Linked DNA regions of Caenorhabditis elegans. The protein of the gene in region 2 purifies or fractionates together with the protein of the main gene of each other region. This does not show direct contact. Each region holds a gene or a part of one and is shown on either strand. Other genes may lie near its edges.

Evidence for each region. Proteins that work in one complex are often made in the same cells at the same time.
Region 1: the proteins of ctl-1 (region 2) and acox-1.5 fractionate together in Caenorhabditis elegans (co-fractionation; one large-scale study listed by BioGRID). This does not show direct contact.
Region 3: the proteins of ctl-1 (region 2) and acox-1.2 fractionate together in Caenorhabditis elegans (co-fractionation; one large-scale study listed by BioGRID). This does not show direct contact.

The regions. Positions count from the first base shown.
Region 1 is NC_003281.10:9,586,177-9,594,053, reverse strand, and holds acox-1.5 (putative acyl-coenzyme A oxidase acox-1.5), read left to right. Parts: upstream 1-1,861; 5' UTR 1,862-1,870; coding exon 1,871-1,935; intron 1,936-2,541; coding exon 2,542-2,707; intron 2,708-3,162; coding exon 3,163-3,327; intron 3,328-3,436; coding exon 3,437-3,506; intron 3,507-4,239; coding exon 4,240-4,333; intron 4,334-4,639; coding exon 4,640-5,349; intron 5,350-5,786; coding exon 5,787-5,945; intron 5,946-6,288; coding exon 6,289-6,431; intron 6,432-6,882; coding exon 6,883-7,164; intron 7,165-7,215; coding exon 7,216-7,341; 3' UTR 7,342-7,442; downstream 7,443-7,877. Other genes in the region: rom-2 (Inactive rhomboid-related protein 2), read left to right, coding at 732-911. UniProt on the Caenorhabditis elegans protein: Involved in the first step of peroxisomal beta-oxidation by catalyzing the desaturation of fatty acid-derived side chains.
Region 2 is NC_003280.10:14,303,065-14,307,963, forward strand, and holds ctl-1 (Catalase-2), read right to left. Parts: upstream 3,197-4,899; 5' UTR 3,190-3,196; coding exon 3,136-3,189; intron 3,064-3,135; coding exon 2,419-3,063; intron 2,365-2,418; coding exon 2,092-2,364; intron 1,079-2,091; coding exon 557-1,078; 3' UTR 504-556; downstream 1-503. Other genes in the region: ctl-3 (Catalase), read right to left, coding at 4,790-4,899. UniProt on the Caenorhabditis elegans protein: Catalase involved in the oxidative stress response serving to protect cells from toxicity. For instance plays a role in defending against oxidative damage induced by excessive copper stress. Not required for maintaining normal lifespan.
Region 3 is NC_003279.8:12,940,689-12,947,104, reverse strand, and holds acox-1.2 (Acyl-coenzyme A oxidase acox-1.2), read right to left. Parts: upstream 4,826-6,416; 5' UTR 4,798-4,825; coding exon 4,687-4,797; intron 4,021-4,686; coding exon 3,830-4,020; intron 3,564-3,829; coding exon 2,889-3,563; intron 2,566-2,888; coding exon 2,301-2,565; intron 2,247-2,300; coding exon 1,914-2,246; intron 1,031-1,913; coding exon 755-1,030; intron 710-754; coding exon 575-709; 3' UTR 517-574; downstream 1-516. Other genes in the region: Acyl-coenzyme A oxidase acox-1.3, read right to left, coding at 54-158; Acyl-coenzyme A oxidase acox-1.1, read right to left, coding at 4,985-5,128, 5,178-5,459, 5,891-6,241, 6,289-6,416. UniProt on the Caenorhabditis elegans protein: Involved in the first step of peroxisomal beta-oxidation by catalyzing the desaturation of fatty acid-derived side chains of ascaroside pheromones, which regulates development and behavior.

The sequences.
Region 1 (7,877 bases), on a different chromosome or scaffold from region 2:
TTAGAATTACAATAATTAGTGTTGCATTTAATTGTTCAACTTTGACAGCTCATATCTCAGTTGTCGTTTGTTTTATACAAAAACTGTCAACTGACAACATATTTATTATTTCTTTTTCTATCGATTTGTAGTTGATTATTTATTGATAACTTCGAAATGAACAGAGATATAACCTTTCAAAGTAAAGTGATGGTGAGTATGATGCATAGTTCATCTTTTGAAAATAGAAAACTTTGATAACAAAATGTTCTCACAAAACTGAATAGATAAATCAATGTCATACTCGAAAAGGAAATGATAAATCCGAAAAACGCAGAAAACGGAACAAAGCTTGTTCCGAATTCCGGGGTACTACACTATGGGGAATTAGTTCTAGAACTCACGTATTTCGCAAAAAGTTTCGATTTGAGAATTATAAGAATTTTTGTTTGCAACTTTTGGAGTGATTCATAGATAAGGCAGAAGAAGAGACGGAATAATAGGAAGTATCAATTCTTTAAGCTTCTTAGAGTAAACATTTGTTAGGTGCTTAACAATAGAAGGTACCTTTGTAAGGCAAAATTTGAATTCATTTAAGCCATGCCCAGCCAACTTCCAAATTAGGTTCATATTTTAGAGCAAAGCCACCAAATGTCAATTTTCCAAAAAAAAAAACCCCTAATTAGGGGTTTATATATATATATATATTTATAAATCTGAAAAGATTCCGTGTCATCGTTTAATTTTTCCAGGTGTCAATGTATGGTCATCTTGGAGGCCTTGTCGCCGGAATTCTGTTCACATTCATTTTATTCCGTGGATCCAAACCATCACGATTTTATACTGTTTCTTTTTGGGTGTCCCTTGTACTTTCTGGATTCTTTATCGCCATTTGTATTACTCTTATTGCTGCACCCAGTATGCTTCATTAATTTGAATAAATCTTTACTAACTGAAATTGATTAAGAAATAGAAATATTAATGAGGAAGCAGAAAATAAAAATATATAGTAAGAAAAACATATATATCAATTTTTTTCAATATAGTACACTTGTCGATGGAAATTTTAAATTAATCCTGCTCAATGCGGGTTAGAGTACAACACAAATTACAAAGTACGGACAAAATTGAGCATTTTCGGTAAATTCTAGTTTTGAAATATTTTGGAAATTTCAAAATTTTTAAAATTTTAATCTTCAAACTACAAATGCAACGCCTCATATTTCTAGAAATTACCGGTCCTAGGAGAACCGAAAAAAAGTAAGGAAATTTGATAAAATATATTTATAAAAATAGAGTTGTAAGTGTTTTTTGTTATGAAAATTCTTTTTCAATATTTTCGGAAATTGGAAATTTTTGGCAATTTGAATTTGTCGAAAATAATTAAGCCGAGCGGCAGTTGTCACCCATAAAATTTCAAAGAAAGAAAATTAGAGTAGATATATAATACTATCTACCATAGTTTAACAGGTTGGAATTTTTCAGAGCTCCAATTGTTTTATTTTATAAAAATTTCAGGGACTACAGTTCAAGAAATTATTAAAAATCAGTCATTCAAAAATAACGCAACACGATGTAGTGTGCAAATAGGAATAAACTGTATTTCATGGACGTCTAATTTTTTAATCTTTGACCACATTTTTCATGTTTCCTATTCCCATGTTCTTCTCATCTCTAATGCTGTTTCCAACTCTCTATACCCAACTACGTCACCTCCTTCCATTCTCATTGTGCTCTGTTCATCTCCGGGTTTTCCAATTCTCTCGATGGGTTTTCCGCTCTATAAATACTGATAGAAGAGAGCATGATTTATCGCTATCTTCTTTTTGTCTTCATTCACTTTCCAGTTTGAAACACACTAATCAGTTTATTCGTGTTACAGAAAAAAGAGATGCCGCTGAATAAGTTGATTCAAGATGGAGACAATCAAGATTTGACTGATGAAAGATTTAAAGCGTAACTTTTAAAAAATATCCTTAAAGGGATTATATTTGCTGAAAATAATTCCTAATGTTACTATTAAATTTTAAATTTCATAATGTCATCATTTCAACCTGAGATTTTCGAGGCTCCATAAATCTCCTTTTCTTATTGTTGAGCCAAAATTTTTATTGAATATTTATGTAGAAATGTAGCAAAATATTTTAACTTTCTGAAATCTAATTTTATGAGAGTTGAAGCTTAGAGACGTTGCTCAAAAACTGTCTCAAAGGATGAGTGCCAAGCTGCACTTGCCACTTTGCCTTTTTGCTCGCAGTTTCGAGGAAATTCCCATAATTTCCAATTCGAAGTTTCACCACTTTTGTTTTTTTCTCAATTCGGTAATTAACCATATCATTCTTTACTCTGCAAATTATGGTTTTTCCTATTTATTTTAGCAAACCTGGTTCAAAAAATTAGAACTCGTCATTTCAATGGTAATAACTTTTTTATTTTTCAATTTTATCAGTCGTCAAGTTTATTTACGATTAATTCAATGAAAATGACGTGGATGGCTTAAACAATATCAAATTTGATAGTACATAACTAAACGTCACTAATTAAAGTTTGAGATATTTGTAGAACATTCGATACTGATGCTCTTGCCGCCGTGTTCCATGGAGGAGAAGATGCACTGAAAAGAATTCGAGAATTGAGAGATGAAGTAACCAAGCGGTGGCATTTATTTGATGCTCTTCCAGGTGCTCATAGGACAAGAGCCGAGAGAATGGAGGATGTCAGCAGGAAGGTTAGAAATTGGCACTTTATTTTAAGCCGACGGCAATTGCCAAGTTAAATGTAGAAAGAATATAGAAAATGTTTTCTTTATTTGATAATAGCTTAAATTTTAGATGAAACAAATGGAAAAACGCTCAAAAATTGTCTAAAAATTTAAAATTGTTGGAAAATTTGTTTGATAACTTGTAAGAAATTTCCAATCGTCTGGCAATTTTGAGCGATTTTCTAATTGCTTCGGCTGGAAAACCAGCTATTTTTGAATGAAGAAACGCTTTTTCGATATTCTCAAATTATTATTAAGAGCACCAAAAAATCTATTGTTATATGTACTTCATGTTTACATAGTTGAGTCTTTCAACTATTTTTGGCAATTCTATAATTCTTAATACGTCATCAAAAAATTTTTCATTGACAAGCGCATCTCCACCGAATTTTTAAACAATAGTCTAGTTCTTAAAATTTCAGCTGAAAAACCTCATGGAATCTGTGGGCGAGTTTGCTGATTTCACCAATAATCTCGATATGTTGGTTATCATTCGAGATGTAATGGGCATTGAAGGATTTCCATTGGCTCTTCATAACTTGATGTTTGTGCCAACTATTCAAAATCAAGCCGACGATGAGCAAACTGTATGTTAAATGACTTTGGAAAATGTTTGAAAAAGCTTTGAAACATACTTTAAAGTATTGAAAAACCCATCATTTATCGAATTAAACTATTAATCAATTGCACTTTCAGGAGTGGTGGCTGATGGATGCACTTCAGGGCAAGATCATTGGAACTTATGCCCAAACGGAACTCGGACACGGTAAGTGAAGTAATCCGTTCGATCATGCTACACTGTTCAAAGAAGAGTTTCTGCAGAACACCTGCTTATAAATTACTGATAAGAACCGGGGGTCTCCCCCTCCGGAAAAGGGTATTGCAACATTTTATCACCGAAAATGCATGTTTCGCAAGTAATCTGTGACACGTGAAATATGGCTAGAATTTGTTGAATGATTAATGATTATTTTGATAAGACATATTTAGGAAATGGAGTGGGAAAGTTGAAAGTGGAAAATAATTTGTATATATTTTTTATTATTTTAAGCGGGTAGAATCAAGTAACTAATTCCGAAGTAATCATGATTGCCAAGCAAATCAGGGTTCAAATGTAAATATTTTAAAAATATTTTTTAACCAATCGCTTGGTGTCTAGTTTTTTGTACCTACATCCTCGGCATTTCGCGCCAACTTTTTGCCTAAAATTTGGCAAAAATTTGGTAACAAGCGTTGGGCAGGACTTTGGCAAAACTTCATCTATGATGCTGTTTATATTAGATTTATGATACAAGAAATTTTGGAAGAAAGTTTGGCAAGATTTGGGTCAAACTTGGGAACCTACACCAAAGTACCAGAAAATTTGAAATGCAAACTATCTTTTTCAGAACCTAGTTTGAAATTAGAAATTTTGAAAACTCAATTTTTTACAGCTATATTTAAAATCAAAAGTTCATAGTACGCTAAATAGGAATTGCAATGTCATCAAAAGTTTACAGGAACCAATCTCGGAGCCATCGAAACTACAGCCACTTACGATAAGCTAACGGAAGAATTTATCATTCATACGCCAACTACAACGGCCACAAAATGGTAGGTAGTTGATATCGTAGAAGTATTTATTATCAAGAATTTGTTGAATATTTTAGTTTACTGTAGACTATGAAAAATATTACAAAAAAAAGTGTAAATGTTTCGTAGTTTCCAAACAAAGAAGTTTCAACATATTTTTGAAAACTCTTCAACTCCAAAAAATTTGCAATGTTCTAGTATAAATAATTAAGACATAATACAAATATACAACTTGAAGAAAGATTTTTTTGGGCGACTACAAAATTATTGTCGCTTTTTCTTTAACAAAATCAAAGCAATGCCGATTTAAAAGATATATTTTTTCAGGTGGCCTGGAGGTCTTGGAACCAGTTGTACACATGTCGTCCTTGTTGCAAACTTGATTATTGACACCAAAAACTATGGGCTTCATCCATTCTTCGTCCCAATTCGTGACCGTAATTCCTATTCTGTAATGTCTGGAGTACGTGTTGGAGATATTGGAACTAAAATGGGAGTGAACTGTGTCGATAACGGATTTTTGGCCTTTGACAACTACCGTATTCCAAGACGCAATATGCTTATGAAGCACAGTAAAGTATCAAAAGAAGGGCTCTACACGGCTCCATCTCATCCAAAAGTCGGATATACTACAATGTTATATATGAGATCTGAAATGATTTATCATCAAGCATATTATCTTGCAATGGCAATGGCTATTTCAATTCGATATTCAGCTGTTCGTAGACAAGGAGAGATTAAGCCAGGAACACAAGAAGTTCAAATTCTCGATTATCAAACTCAACAGTATCGTATTTTCCCGGGACTTGCTCGTTGTTTTGCTTTTAACACGGCAGCTGCAACTGTTCGTCAAATGACTGAAAACTGTATTAAACAACTTTCACATGGAAACTCTGATGTTCTTGCTGATTTGCATGCTCTTTCCTGTGGACTCAAGGCAGTTGTAACTCATCAAGCATCTCAATCAATTGATCAAGCAAGACAAGCATGTGGTGGACATGGATATTCGGATGCCAGTTATTTACCGACTTTGTATAGTTAGTTGCTGCTTAATTTTAGGTGTCAATTTTTTGACAGAAACACAACTTCTCGACAATTTTGCAAATTGTCAAAACTTTTGATAAAAATGATTTTTTAAACACCTAAACCAATTCGAGTTTCACCGAAAACAATTAATTTTTGAAAACAGTTGTTTTTTTTGGACCAAAAATCAATTTTTGATATTTTCAATATTTCTTTTTTTGGTTGGTTACTTTTAATTTAATTTTTCCCGTACTTTCCTAAGTCTTCATATCAGAAAGCCACATTATTTTGACATATTTTCTAAATATACATCTAATCAGCTTACGTAGACAGTTGTACATATTCTGACTATTCTCTATGTCTATAGAAACTCGTGGGCGTTGTATCCTATATGTCAAACATCTAATTAGTGAGTAAAATGTCAAAACGTGCAATTAAAATGGTTTTGCAGCTTGCTCGGTTGGTGCATGCACATATGAAGGAGAAAACATGGTAATGCTACTGCAGCTGTCCAAGTACCTAATGAAAGCGGCGGCAAAAGCCGAAAAGGGAGAAGAAATGGCACCATTGGTTGCATATCTTGTAAAACCGGACATTACCGAGACTAATGGTTTGTGTTGGGGAAAAAGATACAGATTTTATTTTTAAAGATTTTCTTGAAATACAACTGGAAACAGAAATGTACAAGTCACCTGAAATTTTTTTAAATTTGGAACATTTCCCAATTTTTTCACAAACAAAAGTTCAAAGGTTTTTATACTTTTTTGAAGTTTGCAATAATTTTTTGTTCAATTGGATAATAATTTTCAAAATTTCAACGTTTTCCGACTCGCCGCCTTGTTTTTTATTTTCAAATTTTCGGGTTTCTCTTACCTAACTTAAATACTGAAAAATCAAAGAACATACACCCTCGTTATGAATATGAAAAGTGTTTTGTCATTATATGATTCCAGATAAGTTCGCAAAGATGCTCAGCCACTTCGAGCACATTGCACGTCATCGTGTAATGCATGCTTATCGTCAAATGATTGAAGAAGAGAAACAGGGAATCGAGAGAGATTATGCTTTTGCAAATCATTCAGTTGACTGGACTAAGGTTTGTATTATTTTTGATAAAGTGTGAGAACTCTGGGTATACCTGGAAAGAAAATTGAGGCCAAGAATTTATGATTTTCGTGGGAGTAAAAGTTATACTCGATGATTACAAATATGAGGTTTTTTATAGCTCATGCAAGATTTTGTAACATTCTGATATAAACCTTTGAGCACCGGGGATATTTTAAATAGTCAGGATTTCAAAAACGAAACAAAATAAAAAATGACACTTTTCTGATGTTGGCGAAGAATCTTTATTCGAAATTCCTCCAAAAGGTGATCAATTAGCTATTTGCGAAGTTCGAAGACGCTGATTGGTTCGAAAGTGAGCGGAGGGAATCGATTGCTAGTTCAGTTTTTCGTGGTGATTCCAAAATGGGCATAACAAAAGATCCCCATTCAATCAATTCCAAAACTCACAACATTTTCAATTAAACAAAATTCCATTTCAGGCTGCTCGTGCTCATACAAAGTTGTTTATCGCCCGTGGTTTCGTGAAAAGTGTGCAGGAAGTTAGTGATGAAGCAGTTCATGATGTACTTACAACACTTGCTGAACTCTATCTCTCTTATGAACTTATTGAAATGTCGGCTGATTTGACAGCTAATGGATATCTTTCCGAATCGGATGTCCAACAAATTCGACATCAAATCTACGATTCAATGAGAAAAACTCGCCGCAATGCTGTTTCAATTGTCGACTCATTTGATATTTGTGATCGAGAGCTTCGTTCAGTGAGTTTTGCCGAATTCCGAATTCTAATGGGACAAAAATATTATTTTCAGGTACTCGGTCGCCGTGATGGACATGTATATGAGAATCTGTACAAATGGGCTCAAATGAGCCCACTCAATGAGAGAAATCTTCCTCATGTTGAAAAGTATTTGAAGCCAATGACAAGCAAACTTTAATTTTGTTTTGATTTGTATTTCTACTTCATTTTTGACTGTTTTATAATAATTTTGTTCACTTTCGATTCGTGCGGTGTAATAAAACTTTAAACTATTAAAAACAACTCGAGAGGTACATTGGTGAGCTACAAAGAAAAACCCGATTATATATATATATATATTTTTTTTTTTTTTTTTTTGAAATTGTTTAAACTATTATGAATATGCCAGTATTCTGAATAGTTTTCGGGGTTTTTTTTTGAAAAAAATTGTTTCCTTAAAGTAATTTCCAAACTGTCTTGTTGTTTACCCGTGAATATCCCTAACTTTTTTTCAAAAATCAGTTAAAAACAGCTTGAAATAACCCACAATCCTAAATCATATTCCGAAGTAAACTTTGAAGTAGATCTCATAATCACTGCGTTTCCCCCTTCTTCTCTAATCCAGACCCCTTATCCTTCAATTTAAATAACCGAACAACAACATGTATCTCCATGGGGATACGAGAGACACTGGACAACGAGTGGGTATTGACCCAAAGAGCCAGAGCCCTGAGC
Region 2 (4,899 bases):
AGCGATGAAATTGTTGACCAAATTTTGCAATGTTTTCACCAAAAACTACGGTACCCGGTCTCGAAACGACAAATACTGTAACTTTAAACTTTCGTTGACGCGGATTTTTTATCGATTTTTTTTTTAATTTTGTGTTTTTATTGTTATATTTGAGTTGTTTTCATCGAAAAAATATAAAAAATCGATAAAAACTCCACAGCGACAAAAGTTTGCAACTACAGTACTCTTTAAAGGCGCACATATTTTCGCAATAGATAAAAAACTGTCGTTTCGAGACCCGATACCGTAATTTTGGCGCGAAAATTGCTTTTACAGTCTAACTTAAGTTTTCATCTTTAAAAATTGACTGAAACAAAAAATTTTCCAGATTTTCTTCAAACAGGAAAATGATGACGTCACGTGGCCAATTTTCTGCCTGATAAAACGCTATTTAATTTCCGGCTTTTTTGATTTATGTGCACATAAAATTTCTTATCATCAAAAACCAGAAGAAATACAAAAAAAAGAGTTTATAAATAACGAGATTCTATATACAAAAGTTTGAATATCAAACAATTTAATGCTTCTTCTGGCAGAGCTGATGGCGAAGAGCATTTCCGAAATCCGGATGAACTTTCGTGAACTCTTTGACCATTCCATTTTGAATTTCCTCCAAACAGCCACCCAAATCACTAGCCAAATTCCCAACGAGCCGATCTCTCTCCTCCTCCTTGAGCACTTTCTCCCAGAACTGACGTGGCTGCTCGTAGTTGTGATCGTCTCCAGTCTCATAACGATCAACATCTCCAGTCGTCTGAAATGTCGACTCCTTCACATCATCACGAGTACGGTATCCGCGGAAACTGTTCGGGAAGTAATTCGGCGCATCTCCCTGGCTTTCATAAGCCATTGCACCATCGCGTTGAGTGGTATGAGCACGGGAGCGGTACGGGCAGTTGACTGGAAGCTGAATGTAGTTTGGTCCAAGGCGATGGTAATGCGTGTCCGTGTAGGAGAAGATACGCCCTTGGAGCATCTTGTCTGGCGAGAACTCGATTCCTGGGACGATGTGGGCCGGGCAGAAGGCGGCTTGTTCGACCTGAAAACCAAAATAAAAAATATTTTTACTCCACCTTTAAAGCTAGACGTAAAATGCAATTTTTATTGTTCCTATTAGGTCTCCAAATAAGTTCCGGGTCAAAAATCAGAACTTTTTTTGCCTTTTATAGATTTTTTTGAAACTTTGGGAATTTATGTTATCAACTATGACCTTTCATTTTGAAATGGTCACAAAATTTTTTGACCACCCGGAGCGCCCTAACTCGGAGCCATTTTTTTCAGGCATTTTTCAGATCTCGCTTCTTTTCAGGTTTCAATTGAGGTTTGTGTGCGGATTTTGCTTAGTTTAGTACACAATGTAAGAAAACAAAAAAAGTTTGGAAAAAATCCGTCCAAAAAAATTTTTTTTGTCGGTCGTCAAAAAATCTTCAAAAAAATTTTTTTTCGAAAATTCTCGATTTTTTATACAAGAATGATGTAACCATGTGCAAACTATTTTTACACATACAAAACATTTGAGTATGAAATTTGGATCTCGAGAAATACTCCAAGAACTCGAAAATTTTTCGAAAAAGCTGTGTTTTCTGTTATTGTTTTAGTGTGACGCAATAAATTGAAATGTTTTGTATGTGTAAAAATAGTTTGCACATGGTTACATCATTTTTGTATAAAAAATCGAGAATTTTCGAAAAAAAAATTTTTTGAAGATTTTTTGACGACCGACAAAAAAAATTTTTTTGGACGGATTTTTTCCAAACTTTTTGTTTTCTTACATTGTGTACTAAACTAAGCAAAATCCGCACACAAACCTCAATTGAAACCTGAAAAGAAGCGAGATCTGAAAAATGCCTGAAAAAATTGGCTCCGAGTTAGGGCACTTCGGACGGCCAAAAAATTTTGTGACTATTGTCAAATGAAAGATCATAGTTGATAACGTAAATTCCTACAGTTTCATAAAAATCGATACACAGCGAACAAAGTTATGATTTTTGACCCGGAACTTATTTGGAGACCTAATATTAAAAAAAACTAATTCATCTTCACACCACTTGCCTCAGCGAAATAATTCTTCACATTCCTGTTCAGCACCATCTTGCCGACCTCGATCAGTGGGTAATCACCGTGTGGCCAAACTTTAGTGACATCAAATGGATTGAACTCCCATTTCTCAGCTTGTTCGAATGTCATCACTTGAATGAACATCTTCCATTCCGGGAAATTTCTTGACTCAATGGCATTGAACAGGTCGCGGATCGCATAGTCTGGATCCGAAGAGGCGAGCTTTCCAGCGTCAGTTGGATCGAGATTCTTGGAACCTTGAGCAGGCTGAAAAATAGAAAATGAAAATTTAATTCTAGTCCCCGTCTCTCTTAGGCTTACCTTGAAATGGAATTTACAATAAATCGGATTTCCCTCCTTGTTGACCATCTTGAAAGTATGCGCTCCGTATCCATTCATAAAACGGAATCCATCAGGAATTCCACGATCCGAGTAGAGGAACATCACCTGATGAATGGATTCAGGGCGATTCATCCAGAAATCGAAGAGCGCATTCGGATCCCTCATGTGAGTCTGTGGATTGCGCTTCAGGGCATGAATGAAATTCGGAAAGTGGATTGCGTCACGAATGAAGAAGATCGGAGTGTTATTTCCAACCAGATCCCAGTTACCCTCCTCGGTATAGAATTTGAGAGAGAATCCACGTGGATCGCGGACAGTATCAGCGGATCCCGATTCTCCAGCGACCGTTGAAAAACGAACGAGAAGTGGTGTCTGTTTTCCGACCTTGTTGAACATATCGGCCTTACAGTACTTGGTGATGTCATGGGTGACCTCGAAGTATCCATGGGCTCCGGCTCCCTTGGCATGAACGACACGCTCGGGGATACGTTCACGATCGAAATGAGCCATCTCATCCATATAAACTACATCTTGCATGAGCATTGGGCCACGCCGCCCGGCGGTGAGCACGGCGGTCTTCGAGTAGATCGGAGCTCCATTTGAAGTTGTGATCACTTGGGGTTTCTGAAACAAGTTACTGTAAATAGTAGTTGTTGTTGTAGAAAATGCGTCTGTGCCTTTAAACTCTAAACTCACTGGATACGTCTCCTTGTAGGTTTTCAGTTGATTATCCGATGGATCGTTTGGCATTTTGGTTCTGAAATTTTAGTTAGGAAATTTAGAATTAAATAAAACTCTGAACAAAAAAATGACCACGACGAGGTGTAATACGGAATATGGGTTGGGAGAGACAAGAGAAACAGAGAAAAAAGAAAGAAGATTGTAGCGTTATCACTGATAAGGAACATGTTGTTGGACACCAGACTACGGCATAGTCTCGCTTATTTTGGACAGGCAAAAAAGTAGGGGGAAAGACAAAAATTAGGTAGGTATTGATTATGGGTCAGGGTATACGGGGAATGGATTGATCTACAAATCTACAGATCTACAAAAAATGCGGGAGAATAGACGCAGAGTTTTCAACTGATTTCGCATGGTTGAGAACGTGCTGACGTCACATTTTTCTGGACGAAAAATTCCCGCATTTTTCATAGATCAAAGCGTAATGGGACAACCTGGCACTACGTGGAAAAGTGGTACCTGTACGCAATTTGTCTACCGTATACCTGAACTTTTGGGCTTGTCGTTTTTATCAAAAACGAGTGGCCCAATATTTTTGTGATGTATATAAAAAATGTCCGAAAAAAATAAACTCTAAATTTTTTGGTCCAAAGCTTTTTTCTTATCTTGCGCCTAAACCTGGTTAAACTCAAATTATCAGTAGAGCGCATTTGCATGGATGTACCACTAGCCGGGCCGCGGGGTGTTGCTGTATGGTGCATATGTGCAAACACCATAACTTACGCGCAAATTTGACAAACTTACTGTCAAAAAGGCGCGCTATAAATAAGCAATATATTGACTATTTTGAATTTTAAAAACAAAAAATAATCCAAAGTTGTCCACGAGCAGTACACAGCGGCTTGTAGAAGTATTGCGCGTCAAATATGGTGCATCGAAAAATGATCATATTTTACGCTCAATTTTCACTTCTACCGAACTGATTATTGATGTTTTCCGGCGATTCTTATACTCCCAGTCGCGGTGCTCTGTACAAGAGATGATGACGTCACATGTTTATGATAAGCGATAAGGGAAACCCAAAAATAAAATAAAGTGTTGTGTCGGTCTCGCAGCGATGAAATTGTTGACCAAATTTTGCAATGTTTTCACCAAAAACTACGGTACCCGGTCTCGAAACGACAAATACTGTAACTTTAAACTTTCGTTGACGCGGATTTTTTATCGATTTTTTTTTTAATTTTGTGTTTTTATTGTTATATTTGAGTTGTTTTCATCGAAAAAATATAAAAAATCGATAAAAACTCCACAGCGACAAAAGTTTGCAACTACAGTACTCTTTAAAGGCGCACATATTTTCGCAATAGATAAAAAACTGTCGTTTCGAGACCCGATACCGTAATTTTGGCGCGAAAATTGCTTTTACAGTCTAACTTAAGTTTTCATCTTTAAAAATTGACTGAAACAAAAAATTTTCCAGATTTTCTTCAAACAGGAAAATGATGACGTCACGTGGCCAATTTTCTGCCTGATAAAACGCTATTTAATTTCCGGCTTTTTTGATTTATGTGCACATAAAATTTCTTATCATCAAAAACCAGAAGAAATACAAAAAAAAGAGTTTATAAATAACGAGATTCTATATACAAAAGTTTGAATATCAAACAATTTAATGCTTCTTCTGGCAGAGCTGATGGCGAAGAGCATTTCCGAAATCCGGATGAACTTTCGTGAACTCTTTGACCATTCCATTTTGAATTTCCTCCAAACAGCCACCCA
Region 3 (6,416 bases), on a different chromosome or scaffold from region 2:
ACGCCATTTGGCCTTTTGCTGCCTGTAATTTGTAGTCTATTTGCCCCCCTTACCTCTTCACGTCCATATATCACGGCAGCCATCTTATCCGTATCAAAAGTCGCATTCTTTCGTTCTTCTGTGAGATCTGAGTTATCTCCTTTGCAAATTGAGCTCATTGTACAGTCTGAAAATCGGAAAACTTAAAGGAATACATTACATTTGCAGGAGTTTCGTTTTTATAATATTTGATTTTATAACACAACATATGAGATAGAATATTTGAAAAATTTTCCAAATTCAGGTAGAACTAGAACAATGCCATAAAATCCTCAATGAGGACTGTAAGAACCAATTAACTAACTGTTATATACAAAAAATTGTAAAAAGTGTAATTTAAGAAAAAAAATCATCATTATTAAAGTGCAACAATAATTGTTTGCATTCTGAAAAATGTTGCCAATATTTATCAATTTCTTATCACATATGTATACATCAGTTGGTCTGTGATGATTTTGAATAGTTTGTATTTGTTGCTCTCTTTAGTCTGTTGACGTATTTATTTTTTAAAAGTAATATAAGAAAAATTAAAAAGTTAAAGCTTCGCCTTTTCCATCATAGGCTTTAAGTACTTCTCGACTGACGGTAGAACATCTGCGTTGTTCAAGGGACTTGACTTTGCCCATTTGAAGAGATTCTCGTAGACGTGACCATCCCGGCGGCCAAGGACCTAAAACCTCTGTGTTTCATAACTACATTGTCCCAAAATACTTACAGATCTCAATTGCATATCACTAATCTGAAAAGAGTCAACTAGAGATACTGCATTTGGTCGAATCTTCTCCAGATACAAATATAGTTGATCTCTAACATAATCCAACTGAGTGAATGACATGAATTCCAGTGCATACGTGGCAACATCCAATAGTTCATAGTTGACATGAAGATGGAGAAGATCTGTTAGAACCTCTTTCACTGGAATATCTTCAATTCGAGACACTCTTCTCATAAAAGCTTCGATTATGAATAGACGGGTGTGTAGACGGCTAGCCTGAAATTGCTGGGTGTAAAAATTGATATTTCTGGGTATACATTGCAACATTCTAATTTTTTTTAAAGTATCAGTATTTGCACACCCTTTTTAAGAATTTGGTTCAAAAACCAAAACATTTCTTCAAACCAATGAAGGTTGCATTTAAATGATAAGGTGGTTACTATCTGTTGCACTTTTGTTAACTGTGTGTTTTAATTTACATAACTATGCTTGCCAGATATTATTTCCTAGTAGCAATACAAATTATATACAACCAGTCGTTCGCATGCACAATTTGCGTACTGGCGAACGCTAAATTGTTCTAATAAATTTTAAATTGCTCATGTAACATTTTTGTACAGTTACACAATTTCCTGAAGTTTTGCGGACTTTCAAGAAAATTCTAAAACTTTCCAACTTTTATTTTAAAAAATTCTAGACTTTTCCAGATCTTTTCAGAAAATTTTAGCACTTTCCAGATTTTTTTCAAATTTTAGGCGCATTTTTTTTGGGAGAATTTATGTAGTTTTCATAACTTTAAAAATTGCCTTAAAATGAACTTTTTTGAAAATGTTTCTTCGGGGACTTGTTTCAAATTTTAAGGGCTTTCAGAATTTAATTACAAAAATTTTCTAGGGTCCAGAAGCTTCCAGTTCAATCAAAAAAACTGACCTTGGCATATAAATTACCGCATTTTTTTATTGGGATATTTTTTAGTTTTAATAACTTATAATAATAATGATATGTCTACAGGCCTTTCTTTGTGTATCTTCGAAAATTGGGCAAACAACTGAACGACATAGTTTGGATCTAGATTTCTATTGTATATTTTTGAACCACGAAAAAAACCACATCAGAGCTTTTGGAACTCAATAGTGGTAAATGTTGTAGATAAACTTACTCTAGTCAACTCCACTGCTGATTTATTCCATGCCACTTCTCTTGATTCCCCACTTTCCATCAATTTCAAGAATTTCTCTGTTGCTTTCCAAGCCTGCCTTCTAGCCATGTTCTCGAACATCTTTACATATCCATTCAGGCTGGTTAGATCAGTTTCATCACTCTTGTCTGCTAGATATGATGCCACTGGTCCTAATTTCTTAGCTTTACCGGCCTTGATAAGTTCCACGGATTTCACTAAATACCGTGCAAGTTGCAGGAGCATCACCATGTTCTCCCCTTCATAAGTGCATCCGCCAATAGCAATCCCATATACGACAGATATATAACTAGCCTGAAACAACTCCATAAAATGCTTTTTCTTTTTTACTTGATTTTCAAAACCTACCATAGAGTATCCATGTCCACCACAAGCCATCCTCGCCTGTTCAATACCTTCTCCAGTTTCATGAGCAACAACTGATTTTAAACCAGAAGTCAATGCATGTAAATCAGCCATTCCAGATGTATTACCCATATCAACATCTTTTAATAATTGAGAATATAAGTGAATTGTCTCAAATCCAGTGAATATAAATGCATACGCACGGGCTAATGATGGGAATAGACGATGCTGCTGGGTCTGGTAGTCAAGGACTTTTACTTCGACTTGCCTGGAATTTCTGGGTGGTAGAATTGAAGGTTAACGATTAATTGGGCATCGGATTTTAGTTCAAATTTCAAAGTGAATTCAGAATTTTTGGTTGTCGAAAAAATCTGAAAAAAAAGGTGAATACGTTTACATGCTATGCTACCTTTTGACAGTGACCATTGCAATTTTAATTTTTTACAAAATTACACAACTTGCTCCAAATTTTCCAGAGATCCCTGTAGGTTAAAGATAAATCTGAAGACAAAAAACGTTTCCTAGATAGAGCAAATAACATTTGAATAGTTGTGGTACTTTATGTCCAATAAAAACCACTGTTCAACTCACTTATCATCCAAATGTCCTTGCCTCCTCACTGCCGAATACCTCGCTGCAATTGTCAATGCATGTGCTAAAAACAACCCCTGCTCCATAGCCATCTGACTTCTGATCTTCACCATTCCAGAGTACCCGATCTTTGCATGCGGTGGCTTCACATACGTCCCATCCGCCTCTACTTTGCAATGTCTCATCAAAAGATTTGTTCGTGGAACTCTCAAGTTGTTCAACCCAAGGTACCCATTATCCGCCGCATTGAAGTTCATTTTAGGCCCGATATCTCCTACGGTAACGCCTTTTAGTGGAATATGGGTTTTTTCATCTCTCAGCTGCACCATAAAAAAGTGGGGGCCATAGTTATTTCTCTTTATAATCAGTTCAGCTACAACCAATGCATAGTTACAGCTCTTCCCAAGTGCTCCAGGCCACCACTTCAACGCCGTTGTCGTAGGAGTATGTAGTACAAACTCCTGGGAAGCAATGTCATAGACTGCAGTTGTTTCAAGATTCCTAAGATTTGAGCCGTGACCGAGCTCAGTTTGCGCATAACATCCAATGATCTCTCGTCGCCGAGCTCTCTCGAGCCATTTCTCCTGCTGTTCATCACTAGCCTGTGACTGAAGGGTTGGAATAAACAAAGCGTCATGGAGAGCGAAGGGATGACCCTCGTAGCCAATCACTTCTCTGGAAAGTGGGAATTTACCTGATTGTGAGAAAAGTTTAAAGGAAAAGTGGCAAACATTTGAGGTTTATTTTTTCAAAATTTTTCATGGAAGCTCTTGACGGAAATCGGTAGGCGCTAGCATATACTTCAGAACAAAGTTGCAAGCAAGCAGATAAACAATACTGTACCAGTTAACAAATTTTCTATAAACCTAAATAAAACCGACGTATGAGACAATTAAGTGAGATCTACCAAATCACACTGAATTTGAAAAGAAAATCCTTACCGATGCAGGTGCAAACTTTCTTCTTCATTATCTCTATCAATCAGCTGATTCAGATATTTTGTCAAAATCGATATTTTTCTGGTGCCCTCGGTCACCTTCTCCTCTCGAGTCAAAAATGGATAGGGCTTGATGTCGGCGAGCTCAGGGATCTTGGACACGGCGTCGGTGATCTCACGACGGCGACGAGCGAACTGAACAAATAATTTTCTATGTATTAAGACAGTTTTTTTTTCATTTAATAAGTTGACAATTAATTATTTCAAAAAAAAATGCAATCAACCAAAGTGAGGCACCAAAGTTTGAATCATTCGAAACATGGTGCATCGACGGGGATAATTTCCCTCATAAACTATGATAGTTCATTTCCCTGTTTCTTTACTGTCCAAAATCTTGATACATATGTATGTTCATGGTTTGCTGAAACCTTTACACACTACTAGAAACATTGACTTTTGCACTTTCCTGCTGATTGACAGAATATGTATTTCGTTTTATGGTCTCTATCTCTCAGAAAAAATAGTGGCTATCTAATCTTACCTAATAAAAAAAATTTTTCCGACAAAGGGAAAACGACGAAAATTGATTTTTGTGGAATTACAGGGATTTTATTGTTCAATGCCACGTGGTGGAACATGTCGTTCTAACTGATTAAGTTATACGGTGCGAAACATACATGGTCTCCACTTAAGGTATACAATATTTTTCAAGAACATGTATGTATACATTCCATTGTGCTTTAAAACATTATAAAATTTCAGCTTTGATAACTCTTGATTCATACTAAAATTATGTATAATCTGATTTTCTATTAGCCTAATAAAGCTTGTAATCAATAGTTTGTAGTTTGCAGTCCTTACCTCTTCACTTCCATAGATCACCGCTGCCATCTTATCCGTATCAAAAGTTGCCATCCTCCGTTCTTCCAGCAATTCGGGGTTATCTCCATCACGAATTGATCGGTTCGCCATGTTACTGATATCAACAAAAAAGAAGAATGGATGGATGAACTGATGGAAAGGGTATAAAAGGAGTGATGGGCGGAGTTGTGATTATTGGCCTGTACTATTTATAAGTGCAATGTTTGCATTTTCAAATATTTAACAGTATAAGCAAAGAGTATGCAAGAGAAAAAAAAATCAAAAATATAAATTAGAATTATAGCTTGCTCTGCCTGGCTTTTTCCATCATTGGCTTCAAATATGTATCCACTGACGGAAGAACATCTGTCTTGTTCAACGGACTTTCCTTTGCCCACTTGAAAAGGTTCTCGTAGACATGACCATCACGGCGGCCTAGGACCTGAAATTTCAGTTATTTAATTTTAGAACCCATTAGCTTTGGAACTTACAGATCTCAGCTCTCTATCACTAAACTCCCAGGAATCTAGCAATGAAACTGCGTTTGGTCGAATTTTCTGGAGATAGAAGTACAATTGATCTCTGACATAATCCAACTGAGTGGATGACATGAATCCATCTTCCAGTGCATACGTGGCAACATCCAAAAGTTCATAGTTGACGTGAAGATGGAGGAGATCGCTGAGAGCCTCTTTGATGGTGATATCTCCGATTTCGTTGACTCGTCTGGCAAAGGCTTCGACGATGAAGAGGCGGGTGTGGAGGCGACTCGCCTAGAAATATATACTTTTCGGACTTTTAATTTTAAGAGTGTCGCTTTTGTTACAATGTCTTAAGCTAGTGTGTTCAGAATCTTTAGTCATCTTTAACTTTAAATACGGCTCTGGTATCTAGTATGCACCCTAATATAGAGCCCAAAAAAGGTTTCGGATTTACAAAATTCTACCAGATTTCACCAGTTTTTGCTACATAGCAAATGCACTTTTCCAACATTTTGGTGTTTGAACTAATTTTCCTAGTAAGGTTGCAGGGACAACTGATAAGAATTCAATGATTGTTGACAAATATTGATAAACAAGCTCAAAAGTGCATCTAAAGTTTTGCAGGTTTTGCATTTTCTGCAAGGAAATGGGCAAATGGACATCAAGGCCACAATGTACCATCACTCGTATTCTCAAAAATCACAAGCATAAGTCAAACATACCCTATTCAACTCCACGGATGACTTGTTCCAGGCGATTTCTCTCTTTTCTCCATTCTCCATTAATCCGAAGAACTTGTTGGCAGCCTTCAACGTCTGTCTCTTTGCGATATGTTGGAATGTCTTGATGTATTCCGTGATTCCACCATTTGGAACTCTATCTATCAGGCTAGTTGGCTCACTTCTGGCGCCCAAGTAGGCTACCAGTGGTCCAAGCTGAGAAGCTTTTCCGGACTTCACAAGGGCAGCGGATTTGACGAGGTAACGAGCGAGTTGAAGAAGCATAACCATATTTTCTCCTTCATACGTGCATCCTCCAATTGCAACTCCGTAGATTTCAGAGATGTAACTAGCCTGAAACATTCCTTTAGAATTTGCAATTTCAATTATAACATTCCTACCATAGAATATCCATGCCCACCACAAGCCATTCTCGCTTGTTCGATACCTTCTCCAGTTTGATGAGTAACAACTGATTTTAAACCAGAAGTCAATGCATGTAAGTCAGCCATAAGAGACACATTTCCAG